7 linked regions of the Ovis aries genome follow. The protein of the gene in region 7 interacts with the protein of the main gene of each other region in a biochemical or structural test. Links are inferred from orthologs where the notes say so. Each region holds a gene or a part of one and is shown on either strand. Other genes may lie near its edges.

Region 1 (3,500 bases), on a different chromosome or scaffold from region 7:
TCGCCTTCAATGAATGAAACTATTATTCTTCAAATTAGTAGACAAGCACTTATCCTGCCTTTTCTTCATAGACTACATTTTAAGCAAACAGCTAACAAACACAAAAGTTAACAATAAAACAATCAGAAACGCCACAATTTTGCAACCATGATGGACTACTAAAACCATTTGGTTAAAGTTTCCTGAGGAATTTTGTAACTGTTAGATTAGACTAACAACTCAACTTACTATAACCAGTCTTAGTGTGACAAGAAGTGGGATAACCAGACAATAAGACTTCTGATCTGACAGAAATGAACATACGCAGAACCAGCTAATTCTAAAATGAAGGTCTTTAGGTCTAATCAACAGTTTATAGGAGATATGAGAGACAGAGGAAACACGTATCAGTCAGATTCAGAATATGGAAACTGCATAGGAAAAAATCACCCAATTTCAACAAATAAATAACGGAGGAAGGAAAGGCTAGTAGAAAGAACAGAAACTATTTCAGGTTAAAATATATGAACCCTGTTTGGATCCAAGTTTGAACAAGCCAACTACTGAAGACAACAAAACAACAAAACCTCAACTGTGAAAAGGTCTTTTGAGACAGTATGATCAATCTGCACGTGGACTGGCCAGTAGATGGCATTAATGAACTATCATCAACTTCTGTTGGGTATAATGTTTAAAAGGAAAATTTTCCGTTAAGAGTCACCACTACAGAAATGATTGAAAGGACAGGATGTCTAAGATTTACATTAAAAAATTCCAGCAACTGAAGGAGGAAGAAGAGTTGGTGGTGACAGAAATGATAAAATAGAATTGGTAAAATCTGTTGAGGTCTGGTGGTTGGTCACCTTATATCAACACTACCCTTTTCATGTAAGTTTGAAAGTTTTCATAATAAAAAGTCAAAATAAAAAAAGAAAAATGGGTATAGAAGTTGAAATGTCTAATTCAAACAGCATTTACCGGTGAAAATCTAAAAATGTGCAGAAACAGCAGTCTGCCAGACAACCATGTTAAATTTTTTTAGGTTTTCATGATGGCCTTCCAAAGTCCATTTGATATAACAGTGCTTCTCAAAGAGGTGTTCTGATATTCTGAGTGAATCAATTCTTGTGGAATAGGAACCATCTTGCACACTGCAGGGTATTTAGACACTCAATGCTAACATCACTCCCTCTAGTCACTGACAGCAAAAGGAAACTCCCATTTCTCCTAATGCCTCTGGGGAGCAGTGAGGAAGCAATTCTGGTTAAGAACCACTTTGCTACACCAGGTGTTGCCCATTTTTAATTAGAGAAAAAAGACAACAAAGCAGCAGCAATAACTGAATATGACTTTTTCAGATAAAGCGAAGACCAAAAAAATACTTTAAAAAAATGAACTGGCTACTGAAAAGAAAATTTTAATTTAAAAAATAGTTGAATTAGTCTTATTAATTCATATTGGGAGTTGAGGGGGAAAAAAGAAAACTAGTATACACACGGTCAGCATTTTTCAGTGACTGCTTCTTTTTGGAAGGTTTGGAGATGACTTTTATCCGTTTGCTTAGGAACACACCAATGTCATCACTGTTGCCATAGAACATCTTTACAGACAGCATGAAGTGCTTTCTCTTGTCTGAATCAGATATATACAATGTTTTGGCTGTGCAATAGTTCTGTGAAAGAAAAGGATAAGTCTTAATAGCATCAAAACCCTGTCAGCTATGTACAAATAACTCAATGAGGCTATGGCTAAGTCTGATCAGACTTAAGGCAGTAATTCCACTGAACAGCTGATAAAACCAACTGTAAAAAGTACTGAAATTGATCTCTGAAAACAAAGTACAAAATCTTCCTTACTGAGTCTACAATACCAACACTGTATTATTCTGTTTCCCCCTCTCAAAAAGACTTAAAAAAAAATCTTTTATTGTTTTATATAGCTCTGCATCTATTTACAGAATTATCAAGACCTTCAGGCAATAAAAACATTTGCCCTGAAATAAAAAGAAACACAAAATATAATGCTACAAAAGTCTATAGAAATATCTGAATTGTAGAATTTGAATTATAGAAACAAAACAATACTAGCAACAGAGGTACAGGCCATGTAATTCTTAAAAATAAAAATTCAAGTGCTAATTAGGGTAAAAATTCATGTTGCATAGCTTATGTAGCTTCAACTGTGTAAGACAAAAACTGAGAAAATGAATATTTAACAAATTATTTTTAAAACATCAGATCCAAAATATAACTATATAGTCAAATACCATGACCATAATAAAAATAAGGGCTACATATACTAGAACTTTGTTGTAATAAATATTAAAATAAGAATGCAACATGCAAAATAGAATCCCTCCTTTCCCAATAATGACTAATCATACCATTCAATGAACATGCTATTGAAAGAAAACAATATTATCTTAAATGAATGGTTGTTAAGTAAGACAGGAGTAAAGTGTCACTTTCTCAAGCTCAGCATCCATCTCACTGCTTGGTCCATCTTTGCCTACCTGGAACCAAACTGACCTCATTCTTGTATCTTGATGGTCCAAGCATATGATTATATTGTTCTTTCTGCCTGGAGTGCCTTCTGCTGACTCTCAACCAATCTTATTCTCTACAGACTCCTCTAATAGCATTTTTCATTAAAACTAAGTATTAACACATAATTTTGGCTTAGAGACACTGTTGCTAAGTCATTTCAGTTGTGTCCAACTCTGTGCAACCCCATAGACAGCAGCCCACCAGGCTCTCCTGTCCCTGGGATTCTCCAGGCAAGAACACTGGAGTGGGTTGCCATTTCCTTCTCCAATGCATGAAAGTGAAAAGTCAAAGTGAAGTCGCTCAGTCGTATCCGACTCTTAGCGACCCCATGGACTGCAGCCTACCAGGCTCCTCTGTCCATAGGATTTTCCAGGCAAGAGTATTGGAGTGGGTGCCATTGCCTTCTCCAGAGACACTGTACTTCCCTGTAATTAAGTGTTTTTAAGTACTAGCTGATACTCAAGCTCTCAGGTATTATTTTCTGCAAATTTCTAGGGCTTGGGGAAATGATATAATGGCAGAAGTTGATGAAAGATGTACTAAGCCACAATGCTGAGAAAAGCAAGTAGACATGCTGTTTGGTATTACTGCCCTCAGAATTGCTGGAAGCAGTTAAAGCTAGCAATAAAGTTCAATTGCTATTGTTTAGTTGCTAAGTCCTGTCCAATTCTTTTGCAATCCCATGGACTGTAGCCTGCCAGGCTCCTCTGTCCATGGGATTTCCCAGGCAAGAACACTGGAGTGGGCTGCCATTTCCTTCTCCAGGGGATCTTCCAGATTCAGGGGTTGAATCCACATCTCTCGGGTCTCTTGCACTAGCAGGCAGATTCTTCACCACCGTGTCACCTACGAAACAGCTGGGCTTCTCACTACCTATCCAATTATCAATCACAATTACAAATGTCTAGGTGTACAGCTTGGAGACACACATAACAAAAATCCATGAGATGTGACCAAAGCCTCTTTGTTCAACCA
Region 2 (3,500 bases), on a different chromosome or scaffold from region 7:
ACTACAAGCAGTTACCCAGCTGCTTACTCTGATGAGCATTTTCAGAGTAAGCAGCTGTATAACTGGAAACTTACCTCCTATTTAAAGAACTATGGCTTTAAAAAAAGAAAATTGTCCTTTGAGGCCAAATGCTCTGAGATAAAAAGTCAGAAAAAATGAGATCAGATTTTAAGATAAAGGTGTATGTCTTTGTCCCCAAAATGTTTACACTTTCTCTGCAGATTCTGGTATCAGCTTTCTTTTAACCAATTCTATCCAAGTAATTATGCATTTCTAGATTCCTGGGTGTGCATACTATGAGTAAACACAATCTAAGTACCTTTATTTGTAAATGTGACTCTAAGTCATCATCATTACATTGAAATGGCTAATTAAGAGAAGTTTTATACCCAGCTTAAAGAATCTGAATAACTAGGTCCAGGGTGGTCCTATGAATGTCTTACCCAACCCTAATATTTCTAAAATTCTATTTAAATAGAAATATACATTTAGTTTTTACAAGTCAATAATGTATATGCCTCCCTGTGAATGAGGACGTGAAGCCAGGGAGATGCCAACCTGAGTTATATTGTCATATTTCTGCAGGAGTAGAATCCATGACTGAAGTGTGAAATTAAGACATTCTAATTTAACCCAAAGGGTCTAGACCAACACATAATTTAGCAGTTTCTCAACAGGGACTACTAGAATATTGTAGAGAGGTAGCATAGTAGGATGTTTAAGAGCCTGGGGTCTGAACCTTCAGTGTCCGTGTTCAAATCCTGGTCTCTCCCCTTACTAACTGTTCAGCCTTAGATAAGTTACTTAATCTCTTTGAACTCCAGTTTCTCTTCTGCAGAATGAGGATATTAATAGTACATTTGCATCACAGAGTTGAAGATGAAATCAGTTAATATATGCATATAAAATCACTTAGAACAGTGTCTGCCAAATAGTAAACTTTATATAAGTTAAATATTATGTAAATCTGCATCAAGGTGAACCGTCTTTTGGGATTCTGATATTCTTCACTATCTTTCATGTTCCTGGGGAGTGAATTGGTTTAGGGTTGGAGAAGTGGGAACGTCGAAGATTGATTAAGAGAAAACTCAGATTGAATAGGTAAATCTAGAATTCTGTCCTTGTAAATGAAACTTGGGGCCCATTACTATGGTGACAAAAAAATTTTACTCAAAATTTTAAATAAATTCAGAAGTCTATTTTATATGAATTACTTTCAAAAAAAGGTTAAGTACATAGTAGGTAGACTCTAGAACCAGCTTTATTTTTCATCACATTTACGAATGCTATTATAATGTGTGAAATTATACACCTGAACGTGACTGTTTACAGATGACATCCAGATTCGATTTTATGAAGAGGAGGAAAATGGTGGAATTTGGGAAGGATTTGGAGATTTTTCCCCCACAGATGTTCATAGACAAGTAAGTGGATGATGATGGTACGGAAGATGATACTATGTTTTCTGCTTTGTTGAAATTCAGTACTTGGATCCCAAGAATAAAAAAGGAAAAATGATAAGTATTTCTTTAACTTTCATCAAAGAGCACTATGTCTTGGAGTTGTTCCAGAAAAGCTACCTAGAATTATGGGTAAAGCTCTGTCAGGATCTGATCGCCTAGATGCAAGGCTGTGACCCTCAAATCCTTAAGTAGACATGTGTTATGTATTTCACCGGTCTGTTCAGACTAATAACAAAATATCATAGACTGAGTGAATAAAACAAAAGCAGTTTTTGCTTATGGTTCTGGAGCCCATAAGTCCCAGATCAAGGTCTGACAGGGTTGGCTCCTGATGAGGGCTCTCTCCTGAGTTGGCAGACAGCCACCTTCCTGTTATGTCCTAACATGGCAGAGAGAGAAGAAGCTCTCTGGTGTCGTGTCTTTTTATTTTTCTCTTTTTTTGCTGCTTCTCCTTTTAAGACCACTAATCCTATCCAATCAGGACCTTACCTTTGTGACATCTTTTAACCTTACTTATTTCCATAAAGGCCCTGTCTCCAAATACAGCCACACTGTTGGGGCTTCACCATATGACTTTGGAGGAAACACAGTTAGTCTGTAATGGTATTCTCCCAGAGTAACCTGAGGAGACTTGTTAAAAGGGTATTCTAATGAAAAGTGTTGACAGGAGGAGTCTTCTAGTTGAGGCTGATATCATCATGATAAATTAAGATCTCCCAGGAACATTTGAGTATATGACAAAGAGATGAAAATGCTGAATCCTCAGCTTAACAATTACTCTGAGTGATTGAGGAATACAGTTTTCACACACACACAAAATGGAAAAAATCCAAGTGCCCATCAGCTAGTGACCAGTTAAGTCAATGTGAGGGGATATTGTACAGTTATTAAGAAAGCATGAATACTCTACAGACTAACGGAAAGGTCTCAAAGATACAACACTGAAATTTTTTAAAAGATAGATATGAAACAAAGTGTATATAAAAAAAGATTCTGTGTTCATGTTTACATAGCATAAAGAAACTCTGGGAGGTTCTGTGCGTAACTGTTAGATTAAACGTTAATTTTGTGGATGAAATACAACTAAATCTGACTATTCTTATACTAGCAGATATCAAGGAGGCTGTCTTAGAGGTGTTACAGATGCCCTGTGTGTGTCTAGAGCCTCGACCATCCCCACCTCACAGTTGCTGACCCAGTCACAGTGTCTCCCTTAAGGGTTTAGTTTTTCGCTGTGGTTGTTGGCTGGCCATCCTCCTCTCTCTCCTTCCATTATGTCTTTATGATATTGCTGTAAATAATCTTGGAGGCTTTTAAGGCTAATTTGGAAAAGAGGATGTATGCAATATATTTTATTCACATGGTTATTTACACTGAAAGACATTTGAAACTTTAGACAAGTGAACTAATGAGGATTTGCAGTACATTGGCATAATCTTATATTTCAATTTCACATTGGCAATATAATAAAAATATATGGGTACAGAATTCCAAGGTTGTAACTTTCTCTAGGGTGTTGTATTTTTTTTTAAGACACTGTGTCTAAGCACTGGGCATAAAGAATGTGTTTAATGAGTACCACTGCTTTAAAAGAAATGTAGTCCTACTCCAACATTTGTATCTTTGTATCCTGCAGTTTGCCATTGTCTTCAAAACTCCAAAGTATAAAGATGTCAACATTACAAAACCAGCCTCTGTGTTCGTGCAGCTTCGGAGGAAATCTGATTTGGAAACTAGCGAACCAAAACCTTTCCTCTACTATCCTGAAATCAAAGGTAACTCGGTTATTTAAACACTTGCACTTGTTCCAACAAGAGGACAGGCTGTTGAGAAAAGGTCAGGCAGTCACCTCCTTTGACCAGCCTCCTAGTAACTGGTCCTTGGGTCCATGGTACTTCTTTTTAGAGAAGAAAGAAGTAATATATGATTTTAGGGTCATAGAATTAAGTCTAGCCTTTTAAAATAATGTTATTCCCACCGAGTTTTATATGAGGTTGAGCATTTAAAATTTCGCTTTGAATTTGAGAATCTATCATT
Region 3 (2,508 bases), on a different chromosome or scaffold from region 7:
CTGTTCTGTGTGCCACCCCACCCTTTTTGGACCGGCACTGTACCCAGGGCGTGTCCTTTTCCTGGCAGACGGCGGGCTTTCAAGGGGCCAAGCTCACTCCCAGGGGGAGACTCCGCTCACTTCTGTCCCTGGACGCTGCACTGATCATAGCTGGTCGCGTGGCCAGGTGCAGGGCCCGCTGAGGGGGGAAGAATGCTTGCCCGCTGAGAGCAGCTGCGCTGTCACGGGGCAAAGGGCGACAGGCCTCAGCATCTCCCGCTGGGCAGGGAGTGAAGAGTCAGGAGGATGGTCCACAGAAAGGGCAGCTCCTGCCACTCACGGGTCCCTGCCTCAGTTTCAGGGAGGTCGTGCGTCACCATGGGGAGCGTGATACCCGACGGGGCCAGGTGGGACGCTGACTGCAATGCCTGCCAGTGCCTGGACGGGAGGGTCGCCTGCTCCAAGGTAGGCACGGCCTGGCCGCCCTCATCCTGGGGCCGCGCGGACCGCCGCCGGGCACCTCCTGAGCTGCGCTCTGTCTGTCCCTGCAGGTGTGGTGTGGCCCCCGCCCTTGCTCACTGCACAGAGGGCACAGTGAGTGCCCCAGTGGGCAGAGCTGCGTGCCCATCCTGGACACCCAGTGCTTCGTGCACCCCTGCACCGGGGTGGGTGAGTGCCGGTCCTCAAGCCTCCAGCCCGTGAAGACCAAGTGCGAATCTGACCCCTACTACCAGGACAACTGTGCCAACATCACGCTCACCTTCAACAAGGAGATGATGTCGCCGGTATGGGACACTTCTGGCTGGCTCTGGAGAGGTGGGGTGTGTCCGCTTGCCCTAAAGCAGAGACATCACGAGCTCGATCTCTTCCTTAGCCTGGATTCTTGTCCTTCACCAAAGCTCAGCTTGCACGCAGCCTCCCTTTCAAGTAAACAGCAGTCTTTTTTCGTTCCGCTCCCTTACACACGTGTGGATTTTAAAATATCATTCTAGGGTCTCACCACGGAGCATATTTGCAGTGAACTGCGGAATTTGAATATTTTGAAGAACGTTTCTGCCGAATATTCGCTTTACGTAGCTTGCGAGCCTTCCCCTTCTGCAAACAATGAAATGCATGTGGCCATTGTGAGTATGAGACCCATTCACGCCTAGTCGTTTCACTGAAAGTAGCCCAGAGAGCTCACTTAGCTAGTATCCAGATGAGCAGATACATGGAAGGAGAGCTTGATGTACATGTGTATTAGGAGCTCAGTTGTATCCAACTCTTTGCAACCCCATGGACCATAGCGTACCAGGCTCCTCTGTCCATAGGATTCCCTAGGCAGGAATAATGGAGTGGGTTGCCATTCCCTTCTCCAGGAGATCTTCCCAGCCCAGAAATCCCCAGCTGGGTCCTCCCCCACTGTAGACAGATTCTTTCTTGTCTGAGCCGCCAGGGAATGGCATACATGTATGGTCAAATAATTTTGAGTAAAAGTGACTGGTGAGCATCCCTGACCCCTGTGTCTGATGCTTCCTTTTTCAGTCTGCTGAAGACATCCGGGATGATGGAAACCCTATCAAGGAGATCACCGACAAAATCATAAATCTCGTCAGTAAACGAGATGGGAACAGCTCGCTGATTGCTGCCGTTTCGGAAGTCAGAGTTCAGAGGCGTCCTCTGAAGAGCAAAACAGGTAGGTGGTGGGGTCAGGGTCCCTTTCTGAGAGGACCGTCCTGTCCAGCTCATCCATAAGACCAGCACAACCTTGCATCCAGGGAAACCCCAGGCGGGAAGTTAGCTGCTGATTCCCTGTTCAAGGATCCCCATTTTTAACTAGCAAGAAGACAGAGGCCGGCTGACATGACAGGATCCCACGGCTGTGGGCAGAGGTGGCCTGACTTGTCCCTTGCCTGCGGGCTGCCTCTGGCTGCAGGCACCGCCTGGGCAGAGTGTTGCCGTACCCTGAGTACGCATCTTCGTGGAGCCTGCTTGTGCTCCGGGGTTGGGGAACAGTCCATCCTAAGAGCGGCTTTGATGAATGGCTCAGTGGCCCTGCAGGGCAGCGGGAGTGCCCCGGGGATCCCTGGAGCATCACTGTGCTATAGCTGGCACGGGACCCCCGGGGGCGTTGGAGCCATGCGTCCCAGGGCCTTCTTTCTGATGATTCTGAGAACCACTCATCTCATGAGCTGTCTCAGTAGCCAGACGCCCCTCCCCACACAGAAGTGTGCACGCGTACGGGCTGCTGTTTTCCCTGGTCTCTCCGGGGAGGCCGGCAGGGTCTCTGAGGACACCCGGAGGGACGATGCGGGTGGGGAAGGGGCTGGGGCCGCGGTGTGGTTCACCGGGCTCCCCGCCGCCGCCCTGCCGTGCAGATTTCCTGGTGCCGCTGCTGAGCTCTGTGCTGACCGTGGCCTGGGTCTGCTGCCTGGTGACCGCCTTCTACTGGTGCGTGCGCAAGCGCCGGAAGCCGGGCAGCCACGCGCGGGCTGCTTCCGAGGATAACACCACCAACAACGTGCGCGAGCAGCTGAACCAGATTAAGAA
Region 4 (3,500 bases), on a different chromosome or scaffold from region 7:
TTTGCATCAGTATCCAAGTAAAAAATGTTCTTGTTAGTGTTAGAAGAGCTAAACTTTAGACACAGTTACTAAAGCAAGGTTTTGATTGTAGCTTTGAAGAAAACCTGTGTATAGCAGATTTCCTGTTATATACATAGAGGTATTGCACGCGTGTGTGCCTGTGTATACGTGTGTGAATTTTTCATTTATGTAGGTCACTGTTTTTCAGTATGTTATTTTTAACCTGACTTCCTTCCAACTGTTCCCACATTAAGAAATTTGGTGAAAGAGATAAATTTAAAGTATTTATTTAATACTATTTTGCTTTTCCACCTATCACCATGAATATAGTATCCTTTTTAAAAATTATCCCTTTTTCTAACTTTTGTACTCTTTCTCATCATCCCATTTTACTTACTAAGGATATAATTTCACTATTTCTTCTGTATCTTGATTACATGATCAACTTTTTTTGTTTTGTGCTGGATCATTCTTGTCAGTGTATAGATATTCTGCTAGTTCTCTAGTCTTAAAGAATAAAAGAATCTTCTCTTGACACCACGTTCCCTACCAATTTCCACTCCCTTTTTTTGGTCCCCTTTTGCATCAGACTCCAACCTTGTCCATGCCCACCACCCCTATTCTCTTTTCCCAGTCTCTTAATTCTACTTTTCTCGGTATCAGACTTCAGCTAATAGAAACTGCATCTACAGCAGTGACTTGCATGTCACTGAATGCGGTGGTCAGTTCTTTGCCGTCCTCCTGCTTCATCCATCAGCCATACTTGTCATCGTTTACTTCCTCCTGCGGGGTAAGCTTCCCTAACTTGGCTTCCCTAGCACCACTCTTTCGTGGTTTTCCTGCTTAGCCATCTTTGTTGGCTACTCCTCTTCTTTTTAGGATGATGGAGTGTCTCAGGGGTCCATCTTTAAAACTCTTTCTATATTTGAACTTCTAGTGTAATTAGAATTTTTCCCCCAACTGTAGCTTATTTCTTAGAAATAGTTGATTACAGAAAAGAAAATGAAATGCCACTGTTTTAAAACTATCTTTTTGACTTTCTTGACCTCATCTTAAAGCTCGCAGTGAGACCTGTGACCCTTTCCGGGAGTGACCATCTATTGGCAAGGATTAGGAAAGTGGATAAGGCTGTTTTATTTCAAGATCATTGTAACATAAAGTAGTTACTCTTGGGACATGATAGAAAATGAATATTGTATTTCCTTCTCTTGAAATCCTTAAAGATATTTTTTAAAGGAATTTTATATGAACTTGTGTAATATGTTGGCATTATTTTCTGTAACCTCAATTATGTCCATGTAGATATTTGCGAAGGATGAAATCTAAGAAGGAATGTTATGAAAAGATTCTATATCAGATCAAATTTTAAAGCCACTGTTAAAAGCATAAAAGTAAACATGCTTGATACATAAAATTTGAGAAATACAGTAAAAATTGAGTTAAAGCACCTATCATACCACTGCCTAAATGCAGTTTGTATTTTGATATATTGTTTTCAATCTAGTCATTATGCAGTTTAAAAATCATTCTATGATCATATAATGTCCTGGATTTTGCCCTTAGCATAGTATAATATCCATGTTTTCACAAATTTTATGAGCAACATGTTTAGATGTATTTAGTTTAGATATACTAAATATGTCTCATCTCATGGGCTCCTTTGTCTTGAATGTTTGGGTTTTGATTATTTTAATTTGCATTTATTTTTACTTTTTGTTTTTGTGGATAAAGCTGCAGTGAGTATCCTCTGCATTACTTTTTTTTTCTGTTTTAGGAATACTTCCTTAGGATAGATTGCCAGAAGTGGAGTGACTGGGTCAGAGGGTATGAACTTACACATTTTTATTTTCCTTTTCTTTTCTTTGAAATAAACTTTTTAATTTATTTGATGTCTGGTTGATTTATATTCATTATGAAAAGCAAAAATCATAGTGATTATATTTGGTAACTCAGAAAACTGTCTAAAGGCAAACTTCTGTGATCAGAAAAGTTTGGAAAATTCCTAAGATTTAAAAAAAAAGCCTTTTAATCTTGGTTTATCTCAGCATTTCCTGTACTTAACTGAGCATTGAATAGGTTTTTTTTTGATATACTTTTTAACATTTTGTGGAAGTTTGATGAAGGGTGTAGTTTATGAGCTACTGATCTAAAATTTAAGAATATTTTGTTGGTTAGATTGTGTTGTGTTGGTCAAAGCAAATAAACTATAAACCTTTGTTCTAAAATTATTTTTAAAAGGAGATTAAAATAAAGCTATTTACTATATGACTTTTGTGTGTCTTTATAAAGTCTCATAACTTTTATAATTTAAAGTTTCTGTTGATTTCAAAAGAACATCTTAATGTCTGCATGGCATCTAATCTTTTTACAATCTGTATTAAAATTTGGAGTGCAGACATATAACATAAAAGTAGAAGATAATGTAGATTGTAAAATCCTTTCTTTCCCCCTCATTTTTCCCTACAGAATGTGAAAACCTTTGCATCTTCTGATAGCCTAGCCAAGGTCCAAGAAGTAGCAAGCTGGCTTTTGGAAATGAATCAGGAACTGCTCTCTGTGGGCAGCAAAAGACGACGCACTGGAGGCTCTCTGAGAGGTAACCCTTCCTCAAGCCAGGCCGATGAGGAGCAGATGAACCGCGTGGTGGAGGAGGAGCAGCAGCCCAGACACCAAGAGGAGGAGCACGCGGCGAGGAATGGGGAAGTCGTGGGAGCGGAGCCTAGGCCTGGAGGCCAGAGCGAGTCCCAGCAAGGGCAGCTGGAGGAGAACAACAACCGGTTTATTTCCGTAGAGGAGGACTCCTCTGGAAACCAGGAAGAGCAAGAGGAAGACGAAGAACATGCTGGTGAGCAAGACGAGGAGGATGAGGAGGACGAGGAAATGGACCAGGAGAGTGATGACTTTGATCAGTCTGACGACAGCAGCAGGGAAGATGAACGCACACACAGTAACAGTGTCACAGACTCTAATAGTGTCGTGGGCCTGCCTATTCACCAGCTCTCCTCCCCGCTCTATACAAAGACAACAAAAGTGAGTACCTTCAGTCTGCTCTTCACCTGAGAGATTTTACAAATCCGTGTTAATTGCGGTGAAGCTTTCCTCACAGTCTTTGTATCATCGCAAAATTAATCTTCAGTTGTGTGGTAATAAAACAAACCAGTTTTTCTTTTTTTAACAGAAGATATTAGAAATCTTGGTAATGGGACAGTATTATTAAATGGAGAGAAGGCTCCTATTACTATGAAAAATCATTAATACCAAATTTCATCATCAATTTTGTCCCCGGGACAGGGGTTATTAGGTTGTGTGCAGTGGAGAGGGCTGGAGTGAAACATGATTTGTGTGGATCAAGTAGTGAGGGATCTCATTTACCAAGTGCAGCTGGTCTGATGGGCTGTGTACTGACAGGCCTGACCCCATGGCACAAGTTACTAGAAGTTACCTCAAATTAGCTTTCTTATGATGGTGATTCTTAAGGTATATTCTTTGTAAACAGTTTT
Region 5 (4,040 bases), on a different chromosome or scaffold from region 7:
TTACGTAGTTTTAAATAGGCTTTTGAATTGCTTTCTGAAGAGTACACAAAATGTAGTGCTCCTAGTTACAATTATCTTTCCCCATTAGGAACTTTAATTCTGGTGTAAAACTTATGTTTGAAGAATGGTAAAAGTAGGACTGTTACGGTGTTCATGAGCCCTACACACTTGCTTTTGGTGGGTCACTTGTATTTTTTTTTACTGAGTTTGTATAAAAACAGGTACTATTTGAATAAAAACTCGATTTTTTCTTCTGCTTTTAAAACATTTTCATTGGCCTAGTAAGAAGTTACTGTACCAAATGTTTGAGCTGTCGACGGTGTCTCATTTTGTAGCCTTTTGGCACCTCCTGTTTCTCTTTAGCAGTTAGGGTGCCAACAGGTATTGGCACCCTAGTTTCTCTTGACCCAACAGACTGTCTAGTTTGATTGCTCCTGTTTTTTCCCCCCTAGTTTCCCACTTCCTTTGCCTACTAGGTATAATGCTAGAGTGTAATTGTCTTTAGTAGGATTTTGTCGTCTGATTTAATTTTACCTAACAGACGTAAAATTTTAAACGCAAAACTTGCAGGCCAGGCTCCCCGTTTTTTTTTTTTTACTAAAGCATCATCCTTTGCAGTTCTACTGTGCCCACTCCTTCCCCCAGGAGACTTCATATACTTTTCCTTATGTCGGCATTTTTTCTTTTAGTAGGTGTAACTTTTGAAATACTTTCATATAAGGGCAGATTGATACTCTCGATTCAGAATAGCGCGAGGAAACCTTCAGCTCGAGTACGATTCTTACCAACTGTGAGGCTGAATGTGAGGAGTGAGGTCGAAGGAAAACCGATGACACTGAAAAAGCGTGGCTACTGTTGAGCTTATCAAACCCGAATTTAAGAAGCGGTAGGAAAATGGTGAATCGCTGTGGTGCCAGACCAGCATCTGGGTCCGGCGGGTTACGCCGCGCCTGCTGCCCCTTTCCGCGGCGGACCCGGAAGGGCCTGTTCGCGTGAGGCGGCGTTTAGAGCCAGCTTCTGTCGGTCACTCAGCTGAGCGCCGAGGACTGAAGCCCGCCCAGCTGCTTCCCTCCGCCTGACTCGAGAGTTCCTTTTAAACTCCGCAAGGGAACAGCCCAGCGCGCCTCTAGTGTGCGCGGCCCCGCCCCTCGGGCGGCCCGCTCTTCCTTCTCTAATTGGCCGCAGTGTCTGTTCATCAGCTGTGACGGCAGGGTCGGCTGCCGGAGCCCCGCCCTCTTCCGAGAGCTCCGAAAACAATTTTAAGATGGCGGCGGCGGCGGCGCGGAAAACAATGGGGCCGGGCCGGCGGGGACAGGCCGAGGCCTGAGGTGGGCAGCGAGCGCCTGCCCGGGTTGGGCCGAGCGGGGCCAGAGGAAGACCCCCGCCGCGCGCGAGCCCGTCCCGCAGCTCGCGGGACCATGGCGTGGCAGTGAGGCAGCCGGGCAGCCGGCGCGGAGCGGGGCGTGCAGTGCCAGCCGGCCCGAGAGGCCCGCCTCGGGCCTGGCCTGAGCAGCCCGCGGCCCATGGTGCTGCCCACCTGCCCCATGGCGGAGTTCGCGCTGCCGCGGCACAGCGCGGTCATGGAGCGCCTCCGCCGGCGCATCGAGCTGTGCCGGCGCCACCACAGCACCTGCGAGGCCCGCTATGAGGCCGTGTCGCCCGAGCGCCTGGAGCTCGAGCGCCAGCACACCTTCGCCCTTCACCAGCGCTGCATCCAGGCCAAGGCCAAGCGCGCCGGCAAGCACCGGCAGCCGCCCGCCCCGGCCCCGGCCCCGGCCCCGGCCCCGGCGGCGGCGCCCCGCCTCGATGCCGCCGACGGCCCTGAGCACGGCCTCCCAGTCGCGGTGAGTAGGACCCGGGGAGCAGCCCGGCCTCCAGATGCTGCCCCTGACGCCGCCCAGGGCGCTTGGAGACTGCCTCAGTGCCCGCAGCGCCTTGGGTCTCGCTCCGGGGAGGCTAACGTGGCTGGGACTCAGCGGTTGTCATCTGCGGGAAATGGCACTGTGGCCTTGCCTTGGCAAACAGGATCCCGAGGAGCGACCGTAAGGCCCCGGCAGGGAAGGCTGGTGACCGGGCGGTGAAACAGTCTTCTTCCAGACTTGATTTCGAAATTCTGAGAACTCTGTTTTGGAACAGACTGGCATTAAAGTTGCCTGTGATAATGGCTTCATTTATTCTGCAGCTGTTCTTTGAGTCCTTGCTCTTTGCAGGGTCAGGGCTTAAATATGGAAATAAGACGGACTTCAGTTGACCAACTGAAACTGTTCTGAATGGAAAGTCAAGAATCTTTTGGAAATCTTCGTAAAGGCATAGTGCTGCTCATTGAGATGTACAAAAGTATTCTTTGTTTAGGCAACTCTGGAATTTGTGATTACAGCAGTATTGTTGGCAGTCCCAGTTTTAATTAGAAGCCTGTTTAAAACCTCTGATGATACTAGAGTTTGTTGGTAAATTATTACACCGTCTTGGGCTCTCAGTAGTGCTAGGGAAGTTTGTTGGTGAGAGGTTTTCCTTCCTGAAACTACTTATAAGGTTCGTTGCTATTGTTTTCTCGGTAATTTAAAGTTTAGAACAGATACTACCAATTTAATTTCTGTGTATTTTTATAATTCACGCCTTTGTTAGGTCTCACTGGGCTGTTGGCAGTACTCTTCCCTAATTAGTATTCAGATATTTAGTCTCTAACCCTTTAAATGCTATGACCCTCACAGGCCCTATGCCCAGTTTGTATTATTTTTCTTATTCTCTCCCACATCAGTCTGGACTGCTGGACATCTCATTGCTTATTGTTATCAATTCTTCTATAGTCAGGACTTCTCATCCTCACTTTTCTTCTCTGTAAATTGAAGATGTGTTTGACTTCCTCTGGGATTCTTGTAAGATTCAAAAGAAATGAGTGTCCAGGTGAAAATACTTCATAAATGGAAAGGCTGCCTGTAAGACCCACTGTGTCACCTCTCAGAATCCTGACATCCTTCAGATCCAGTTCATCTTCCTCTTTAAAACCAGTTTTTATCCTGCTCCAGAGCAGTTAGAATCTCCTTTGTCAGAACATTAAAGAAATGCATTGCCTGTGCTATTTTGAATATTTTAAGCACATCCTTGCATGCTACCTTAGAAGTGTCTTGGAAACTAGACTGTAAGCCCTAGGAGACAGGGAGGGGTGCAGCTCAAAGGAAAGACTTCAGGTTTGGGGTGGTCATTCCATTTAAGTAAATAGTGAAAGCCCATTAAAAAAAAAAATCTCAGTTTTACACACAAATAGTTGCCTTGAACACCCGCTAGAATATATATTATTAGTGATTCAGTTTGTTTAAGGAGAGTTAAGAATTTAGGTCCTCTATGATATTTTTAGCCCTAAACTACTAGAGAGAGGCTGGACATGCTGTTTGCAGAGAAATGAGTTCTGATTGTGTTCGAACTTGAGCCTGGCCTGTTAGTCACTCCTCTGGGTGATCGGGTGTGTCGTGCTGTGTTGGTGTCTTATCACAGTAAACCTTGACCCATGGGCTTCGTGAGCTAAACTTTAGAATCGAATTGCTCTGCTGCCTCCCTGCTAGGAAGAGGGACCCTGTTAGCTCCAGGCTCCACATGCTTCTAGGTGAGCGCTTTGGCTCTGGAGTGAAGTTTTAGGAATGGAAGAGGAGTGTTTAGTAGAAGGCATTTTAGTGGCTCCTTCCGTTCAGAGAGGGGGCGAGTTCTTGCCTCTTGGCCTTGAGAGAAAGCACAGCTTTGCCCAGAGAGATGGAGGGGAGAAAGTGATTATTATTTTTGACAATTCTGTATATGTATTTGATCTGATTAATATTCCTGAGTGAAAGTCGTTTCCGGCTCTTTGCGACCCCACGGACTATAGAGTCCATGGCGTTCTCCAGGCCAGAATACTGGAGTGGGTAGCCTTTCCCTTCTCCAAGAGATCTTCCCAACCCAGGGATCGAACCCAGGTCTCCCACATTGCAGGTGAATTCTTTACCCGCTGAGCCACCAGGGAAGCCCAGTACTCCTTACATAAGGACTATTATTCTTATTTTTTCCAAAAG
Region 6 (3,978 bases), on a different chromosome or scaffold from region 7:
CTGCTAAGGACTGCAGGGCCTACAATGACGTGTTAGTCGCTCAGTCATGTCTGACTCTGCAATCCCATGGACTGTAGCCCGCCAGGCTCCTTTGTCCATGGAGTTCTCCAGGCAAGAATACTGGAGTGAGTTGCCATTTCCTACTCCAGGGGATCTTCCCAACCCAGGGGTCAAACCTGGGTCTCTTGCATTGCAGGCAGATGCTTTACCATCTGAGCCACCAGGGAAGCCCAGGGCCCCACAATGCTTGCTCATATTTCCCTTTTCACATGTATCTCCTTGTATTGAAATCAAGTGGTGCCACCATTAAAACAAACAAACAAACAAACAAAACATGCTGTTAAAAACCAGAAGTAAAACACTGTAAGTCATCAATGGGTTTTCATATCCCTCCCTGTCTTTATATATAGGTAGATTTTTTTCATGTGGTTTTAATCACAGATTGGATACAGTATTGTTTCCCTAGCTTTTTAAAGTTTTTTTTTTTTTTTTTGCCAGTGTGTTCACACTCATTTAATTTGCTCTTCACATAAACCTTGTGAGTTAAGAAATTTAATTAACCTCATTCACGGGTGACGAACCCAAAGACTCAGCTGGAGGGGCCGAAGCAGGTGGTACCCTGCATGGTCAGGTGGGGCTCACTGTTCCTGGAACTAATGACCCGAAAACTGGTCTGTCTGCACACATGCAAGTAGGTGTGTGATAGGTAACACTGGATGCTTACCATTTGCCAGGCCCCAATCCTAAACGCTTTACGGGTGCGTTTTTATTTTTTAAAAATATTCTCCGATGCCTAGTTAAAGGCGTGGCACAGTGCAGGCGCTCAGTGTGTTTGTGGAATGAATGAAAAGTGAACAAATATGAATGGGTGGATGCGACCTCCATAAACGCGACTGCTCTGAGATCTTCAGTTCGCACTTCGGAGACCCCGGCCCAAGGGTTCGGCGGAGCGGGCCGACCTCAGGCCGCAGCTCCCGGCCCGGACTTCCCGAGTCCCGCCAAGCACCGCCCAGGTGGCCTCCAGGGTGGTGAGAAGCTCGGGCCGACCAGGCGCTCCGGCGTTATCACCTCAGTCCCCCGCGCTTTCCCTCGGGGCCCGGGAGCTCGGGTCTGCAGCGGGCGGGGCCGTATCCGCCTAGGGGCGCGGGCTCAGGGTCCACCCCTGGCCGGCTCCCGCCGCGCACGCCCACCTGTCGGCCGCGCATGCGCAGCGCACGCCCGGCGCGCCCGGCCTCCCCACGCCCCGCGGAGCGCTGCCAGTGCGCAGGCGCGGCGGCCGATGCGAGTGTGTATGTGCGGGCGAGAAGATGGCGGCGGCGGGGGAAGCAGCGTGAGGAGCCGGACGAGCGCCGAGGCTCATTGAAACGGGCCACCATGGCCCTCCGCAGCCCGCAGGTAGCCGCCAGCCGGCGCCCTCGGCAGGAAGAGATCCCGGGCCCCGGGCGGGCGGGCGCCGGGGTGGACGGGCGGGCGGGCGCACCCCGGCCCTGAGCGAGCGTGTGGGAGTGGGGGAGGGCGCCGGGACACGCTGCCCGGGACTAGGCCCCGAGCCTCCCGCTGCCTCCGCGCCTCGGCCGCCCTCAGCCCAGCCCGGCCCGGCCCGCGCCCGAGCCCGCCGGGCCCCGCCTCGTGGGGGCGGCAGAGAGGGGGCGCCCGGGCCGGCCTGGAGAGGGTATGGGGCGGGGGGCGCGAAGGGGTTAACCTCAGGGCTGGACCGCGGGGCGAGCCGGCGGTAAGGATGGGGCCCTGGCTGTCCCGGGAGGCGGCCGAGGGGCTTCGGGAGGCCCGGGAGCGGCAGAGCCTTCCACGCCCTCCGGTTGCCTCTCTGCCCGCAGCGAACCAAGATTTGGGGGTGCACCGTTTTCCCCGTGGCACTAAAGGTTGCTTTCGCAGTTTGATTGACCCCGTTTGGGGGGCGGGGTGGGGTGGGGTGGGGGTGAGTGAGATTGCTGGTTTTCCGGCTTTTAGATTCGAGTGACTGAGGAGTAGCTTAAGGTTACTGTTGCAAAGGGGACTCGGAATAACTCGCCAGGACCGTACTTTTATTAATACCTGCCTTTGAGTGACATCCTTTGCTTGAATCCGTCTCAGCCGGTCTGACACTATACTAACGCACACTGTCAGAGCGGTCTCTCAGGCTTAGGGGACACTTAAGATAATCCCGCAGTGGAAAGAAAGAGGAACGGGCACGCTTTTAGGGAGATAGTTTAGAGTTGAACTCAGTCCTCCCCACTCTCCCAAATACAGTTGCTCTGTTTGAAAATCAGCATGTGGTCTTATTTGTCGGGCTTGCTGTGTAGACCACTGATTTGTCGACTTCCAGTCCCTAGAAGTTGTGGCACTTTTTTGTATCAACTCTGTGTGCTGTAGTATTAACTTTGTATCAAATATAGGGAAATGGAACAAAGTAGCTATTGGAAAACTGGCGACCGGTAAATCATAACCCTCACTGTAAGCAGTTGGTTTTTGTTGCCCTTTTGGGAATGGAGTAGGTTTTAATAACTTGTAATTAACGCGTGTTGCGGAATTTAAGACGCGATAATTTAAAAAAATGACATCTTACAGGAAGCTGCAATTTTGTTAAATTTTTGGCGCTTCAGTTTGCTCTACAACTTTCCGCCTTTAACTTTTTGTTCACTAGTACGTCTGCTTTTGAAAGTAACTCAGTAAAGTTATATGCACAAAAAAAAGGGCTTAGTGGTTGAATAAGTTTTACAAGTGTGTAATTCAAAGATTTCTTTCCTTAAGAGATTTAGTATTTGCCTTTTTCTCAACTTAAATTTTAAGATGATTAGCTACAAAATAGGTACAAGGTTCATTGTGAACGAATGGGTCATAGTCGTAGCGATTTTGAAATGAAAGAAGCATGTTTAGGCATAATTCACTTCATTATCGTAAGCACCAGTCGCAGGGCAAAATTGAACTGTTAATGAGCAGTGATAATATGTAAACGTGATTGTAATTTCGTTTGCTTTCCTTGTCCTAGTGTTTGTTTTATACAGCATAACTGCCTGCATGTTGTACATCTTTTGAAAATTAAGGTGGCAACAGTTAGCTGAACATAAATGTTAGCAACACTTTGGGTTTATTCTTTTAAAGTATGATTGAAATGCTTTTAAGTTCTAGCATAGAGAAGGTAGGAAAGGAAATGGTATGATTTCTCATACTTCAAATAATTTTCTTTTTAGAAGAGTAGTAATGAAAACAGGTAATGAAATCATGTATGTGACAGGATTTAATGGTTGGATCCTGCTTAAGTCAGGCCAAGCATTTTAATAATTTAGTTTTATTCAGTTACCTCCTGTCCTAAGGGTACTGCCTTGGTCATTGCCATTCATTAATTAAAAAAATATTGATCGATCGATCACCCTGTGCTAAAGCACGATGATGCATAGTACGTGTTTACTGTGGGGGTTAACAACCACAGATTAGCAGTAGGGGCTCTATTTTATTTTGTTTTTTTCTTAGGTTTTTTTAAGGGTCCTATTTTAAAATTGGATTCTTAAGGTTACAGTTTAAAACATTTATAGATTATATCTTATTTCCATAGTATTGATTGAACCTTTTCCCCTGGATTGACGTGAAACTGAAAAACTTGGAAACATTTCTAATGTGGATAGCTTTCAACACATTTTAACAAACCCACATAATGAACTTTGACAATTGAGGTGAAAGTACATCTCTAATTAATATTGTTGTCAGGAGGGAACTGATGAAATGCTTTGGGATAATTAATTTGAACTGACCAGTGCTGTCTTAAACCAGAAGAAGCGTTTGTGATCATTGCAGTTGTTGTTAGTGAAATCTCCACAGTAACGCTTCTTACACCCTATTTGAATATCGTGTGGCTGCTCCTGTCCTGGTCCCCTGCAGCGGGCTCACCTCAATCTTTTCCTTACCTAGGATAGAATAAAGTGGCCCGTCGTTTTACACTGTGGGATTTCTTGGATCCAACTTAGAGCATATGGTAGAGTGTTA
Region 7 (3,500 bases):
GCCTCCCCACACTCCGGAGGTGAGGCTCTTACGGGCCCTCCCCACCATGGGGGACCTGACCGGCCTTGGCACAGGGGCAGGGTGGGCGGCGGGGCCCAGGCTCACCCGTGGGGCACTCGCACACGAACTCGTTGATCTTGTCCAGGCAGCGGCCGTTCTGCAGGCAGGGGCTGCTGGCGCACTCGTCCGTGTTCACCTCGCAATGCAGGCCCTCGTAGCCTGGCGGGAGCGGGCTGGTCAGCAACCTGCTCCCCGGGGCCGACCCAGCCGCCCCGCGCTCACCTGCTCTTCACTGTGCCCGGAGACCAAGCTTGAGCCTCCCCAGATAACTGTGGGAAGGCTGCAGCCTGGGCGGGCACGGAGGCCAGAGGCAGAGGCGATGCGGCTTCCCCACTCCCAGGGTCGGGCGGGCGGCCGGCCGCGTACCAGGCATGCAGATACACTGGAACTCCCCGATCTGGTCCAGACAGGTGGCGTCGTTCTGACACGGGTTCGATACACACTCATTGACGTCGATCTCGCAGCGCGGGCCGGTGTAGCCCTGCAGACACTGGCACTCGAACGAGCCCAGCGTGTTGATGCACTTGCCCGCGTGCTCACAGGGGTTGGCACCTGGTGGGGGCGGCGGGGGGTGGATGCGGCATGGGTAAGGGGCTGCTCTGGGAACCCTAGCCTCTGGAACAGTCGGGGGTGTGCCTGCCTCCCCCATCAGACCCGCCTCCCCCCATCGGACGACTTCCAACAGGTTCCCCAGCACCCTGGCTGCCCGTACCCAGCGAGCACTCGTCCACATCCTGGCTGCAGGCCGGCCCCGTGTACCCCGAGGGGCAGGTGCAGATGGCCTTGCCGTTGACGGGGTTGGTGTCGCAGTTGGCGCCCTCGTTGCAGGGGTTGCTGATGCAGGCGTCATTCAGGTGGCACAGCAGACCTGGGCACGGCGGCAGGGGTCAGCGGGAACGCCGACTGCCCACACCCGGCTCCCCAGGGAGGGCCCCCGCCAGGACACAGCCAGCGACCCTGTGGAGGGCCCTACAACGCCAGAGCTCTTCCGGGAGGCTCGTGGCAGGCCGCTTCACTCCAGGAGGCCCCTCCTGGGGCTCCCCCCTTACGGGCCCCACAAAGCTGCAGTGTGAGGCCCCTCGCCCAGGCCTGACCCCCCAGGACCCCCCGCCTGGGGGCAGGCCGGGCGCTCACCCGTGCGGCCGTGGGGACACTCGCAGTAGAAGGAGGCCACGCGGTCATGGCAGGTGGCGCCCCGGAAGCAGGAGGCGCTGGCGCAGTCGTCAATGTTCTCGCTGCAGTCCGCGCCCGTCCAGCCGTTGACGCACACGCAGCTGTAGTCGCCGTGGGTGTTGTGGCAGGTGCCGCCGTTCTGGCAGGCATTGGGCATGAGCTGGCACTCATCCACGTCCTCTGTGCAGTACTGACCTGCGGGGGGCCGGGACGGTCGGTGCCTCCAGCCCCCTCCGCCAAGCCAAGACCCTCACCTCGACCAGGAAGTCTTCCTGACTTCCTCCAGCCCCGCCAGCCAGAGCCAGCCTTTCCCCGGCACCCCTGGCACCTGGGGGCTCTTGCCTGGCCGCTCCGTGGGCACAGGTGCACTGGGGTCCACGCTCACCTGTGGGCAGGGCCTGCACCCTGCTGGCCAGCATCCCTGTGTCTTGGCCAGCAAGCTGGCCTCAAACTGGGGACCTGACTGTGGCCAGGCCAGCCTGGGGCCAGGCTGCAAATGGCTCACACAGATGGGCTGGTGCCACCCACGTCTGTGCTGCTCCAGGGGGTTTGGGGGGGGCCTCAGACCCTGGCAGGGGGGCAGTCAGCTGCAGGTCACAGCATCCTTCCCGTCCCATATCTCAGCTCCCTTCTGCCTGCCCCCCACGGGGACAGACTCCAGGGGCAGAGGTGCCCCCTGCGCCGCCCGCTGTGCACACCTGTCCACTCCGGGGGGCAGCGGCAGTTGTAGGTGTTCACGCCGTCCACACAGGCGCCTCCGTTCTTGCAGCTGTTCCCTGGACAGTCGTCAATGTTTTCCTCGCAGTTCTGGCCAGTGAAGCCTGCAGCAGGGGCCGGTCGCCCGGTCAGGCCTCCCCGACGGGGCCAGGCCCTCACCGTCCTGTCACGCTCGCACTGGGCTCTGGCACCCTCCTGGCTGGACCCAGGACACCCTGCTCTGGGCGGAGAGCTGCTCTCCACAGCCTGTCCTGTGACGCCCACCGCCTTGGAGCCCTAGGGGTCCCTGCCCCACACCCTGCCCTCCCCACTCCTGTGACCGGGCCGCACACCCCAGAGCCCACGGTCAGCACATTCCTAAGTGATCGTTTTCTAAACGGCCGGCTGAACAGACAGAGACCCACGGTCACAGGCTCCCCGGGGTTCTGTCAGAGAAGACATCTGCGCTACGGCCTCTGTGCTGGGCACTGCCTGCGGGCCCAGCCCTGTGCTCAGGGTTGTCTGCACACCCCCACGTGCGGCCGTGGATACCCCATTTGACGGGGCAGCACTGGGCCTGGGAGCCCCCTCGCACGGAACTGGAGCAGGGAGACAGAGGGACCCTGGCAGGTAGTCGGGGGTGGGCGTGTGTGCAGGTGCGGCCCCCAGACTTCCCAGAAGCAGAGGCGCAGGCAGGGTGGGAGCCCCCCACCCTCTCCCTGCCCTCTCCCGGCCAGGCCAACTTCTGCGGCACCCCCTCCACGTCCAGTCAGTTAGCTATTAATCCGTTCGACTCCTGCTGGTTCAATAATCAACCCAGAAAGGTGCGTCTGGCAATAGCCAAACCTGCAGCCAGTTACTAATTAATGCCCCTCCCAGGGCGCCTTTGGACCCCCTCCTGCCCCTCTCTCAGAGGCCCCCCCCACTGGAGCCTGGCGCCCACACTCCAGTCCCTCCTGCGTGCGGCAGGCCTAAAGCGCCGCCTCTCCCCAGCCTCAGCTCACCTCCGGCCGGTGGGGCTGCACCTGCTCCACGCGTGCAGCCCCCTCTGCCAGGCCCCCACGCCTCCCACCGGCCCCCCCAGCCCGCACCACAGCCCCTCCTGACCCTGGGGTCACACAGCCCACCCCCCTCAGGAAGACATCTGAACCCAGACGCTGAAACAGCCACATAGCCCAGCCGGGCAGTGGGTAGTGCCGGGGCGGGCAGGTGGCGAGGGGAGAATCAGGGACCGGAAATGCACACGCCTGGCGTCTGCACGCAGAGGCAACAAGCCCAGGGCTTGCGGGCGGGAAAAGCACTTCCTCTTTGCAAGGGCCGGGCTGGGCCGAGGGCCGTGTGGGGGCCAGAGCGACCTTTGGGTCAGTCCTGGGTCAGCCGGACCCTGGGTCCTCCCCTCTCCAGCAACCCAAACCCCACCGACCCCACCGACCCCACCTCCTCGTCGCCCCGCCCCAAAACTCCCTCCCCTTCCCAGTCCCTGCCTAACCACCCCCATGCAAGTGACAGACTGGAGGCTTTCGAACCTCTTCGTCATTATCAGTATTTTTAGATCAGCAGCAGCAAAACGG

The links.
Region 1: the proteins of NOTCH1 (region 7) and RBPJ form a complex in vitro, tested with the Homo sapiens proteins (5 studies listed by BioGRID and IntAct, with this or other methods). The link is inferred for Ovis aries from reciprocal best matches to the Homo sapiens genes NOTCH1 and RBPJ.
Region 2: the proteins of NOTCH1 (region 7) and NFKB1 form a complex in vitro, tested with the Homo sapiens proteins (2 studies listed by BioGRID). The link is inferred for Ovis aries from reciprocal best matches to the Homo sapiens genes NOTCH1 and NFKB1.
Region 3: the proteins of NOTCH1 (region 7) and JAG1 form a complex in vitro, tested with the Homo sapiens proteins (3 studies listed by BioGRID and IntAct, with this or other methods). The link is inferred for Ovis aries from reciprocal best matches to the Homo sapiens genes NOTCH1 and JAG1.
Region 4: the proteins of NOTCH1 (region 7) and FBXW7 form a complex in vitro, tested with the Homo sapiens proteins (2 studies listed by BioGRID and IntAct, with this or other methods). The link is inferred for Ovis aries from reciprocal best matches to the Homo sapiens genes NOTCH1 and FBXW7.
Region 5: the proteins of NOTCH1 (region 7) and MAML1 form a complex in vitro, tested with the Homo sapiens proteins (2 studies listed by BioGRID). The link is inferred for Ovis aries from reciprocal best matches to the Homo sapiens genes NOTCH1 and MAML1.
Region 6: the proteins of NOTCH1 (region 7) and USP10 form a complex in vitro, tested with the Homo sapiens proteins (2 studies listed by BioGRID, with this or other methods). The link is inferred for Ovis aries from reciprocal best matches to the Homo sapiens genes NOTCH1 and USP10.

The regions. Positions count from the first base shown.
Region 1 is NC_056059.1:46,439,513-46,443,012, reverse strand, and holds part of RBPJ (recombining binding protein suppressor of hairless), read right to left. Parts: intron 1,652-3,500; coding exon 1,477-1,651; intron 1-1,476. UniProt on the Homo sapiens protein: Transcriptional regulator that plays a central role in Notch signaling, a signaling pathway involved in cell-cell communication that regulates a broad spectrum of cell-fate determinations.
Region 2 is NC_056059.1:22,569,264-22,572,763, reverse strand, and holds part of NFKB1 (nuclear factor NF-kappa-B p105 subunit), read left to right. Parts: intron 1-1,332; coding exon 1,333-1,424; intron 1,425-3,099; coding exon 3,100-3,238; intron 3,239-3,500.
Region 3 is NC_056066.1:3,767,296-3,769,803, reverse strand, and holds part of JAG1 (protein jagged-1), read left to right. Parts: intron 1-334; coding exon 335-444; intron 445-530; coding exon 531-764; intron 765-971; coding exon 972-1,103; intron 1,104-1,503; coding exon 1,504-1,654; intron 1,655-2,336; coding exon 2,337-2,508. UniProt on the Homo sapiens protein: Ligand for multiple Notch receptors and involved in the mediation of Notch signaling. May be involved in cell-fate decisions during hematopoiesis. Seems to be involved in early and late stages of mammalian cardiovascular development.
Region 4 is NC_056070.1:5,437,071-5,440,570, forward strand, and holds part of FBXW7 (F-box/WD repeat-containing protein 7), read left to right. Parts: intron 1-1,774; 5' UTR 1,775-1,824; intron 1,825-2,466; 5' UTR 2,467-2,535; coding exon 2,536-3,030; coding exon of another isoform or gene 3,031-3,060; exon of another isoform or gene 3,061-3,500. UniProt on the Homo sapiens protein: Substrate recognition component of a SCF (SKP1-CUL1-F-box protein) E3 ubiquitin-protein ligase complex which mediates the ubiquitination and subsequent proteasomal degradation of target proteins.
Region 5 is NC_056058.1:1,375,313-1,379,352, reverse strand, and holds the start of MAML1 (mastermind-like protein 1), read left to right. Parts: upstream 1-1,240; 5' UTR 1,241-1,523; coding exon 1,524-1,844; intron 1,845-4,040. UniProt on the Homo sapiens protein: Acts as a transcriptional coactivator for NOTCH proteins. Has been shown to amplify NOTCH-induced transcription of HES1. Enhances phosphorylation and proteolytic turnover of the NOTCH intracellular domain in the nucleus through interaction with CDK8.
Region 6 is NC_056067.1:10,408,622-10,412,599, forward strand, and holds the start of USP10 (ubiquitin carboxyl-terminal hydrolase 10), read left to right. Parts: upstream 1-1,178; 5' UTR 1,179-1,203; coding exon 1,204-1,395; intron 1,396-3,978. UniProt on the Homo sapiens protein: Hydrolase that can remove conjugated ubiquitin from target proteins such as p53/TP53, RPS2/us5, RPS3/us3, RPS10/eS10, BECN1, SNX3 and CFTR.
Region 7 is NC_056056.1:2,983,845-2,987,344, reverse strand, and holds part of NOTCH1 (neurogenic locus notch homolog protein 1), read right to left. Parts: intron 2,055-3,500; coding exon 1,932-2,054; intron 1,429-1,931; coding exon 1,195-1,428; intron 929-1,194; coding exon 773-928; intron 613-772; coding exon 427-612; intron 220-426; coding exon 106-219; intron 1-105. UniProt on the Homo sapiens protein: Functions as a receptor for membrane-bound ligands Jagged-1 (JAG1), Jagged-2 (JAG2) and Delta-1 (DLL1) to regulate cell-fate determination.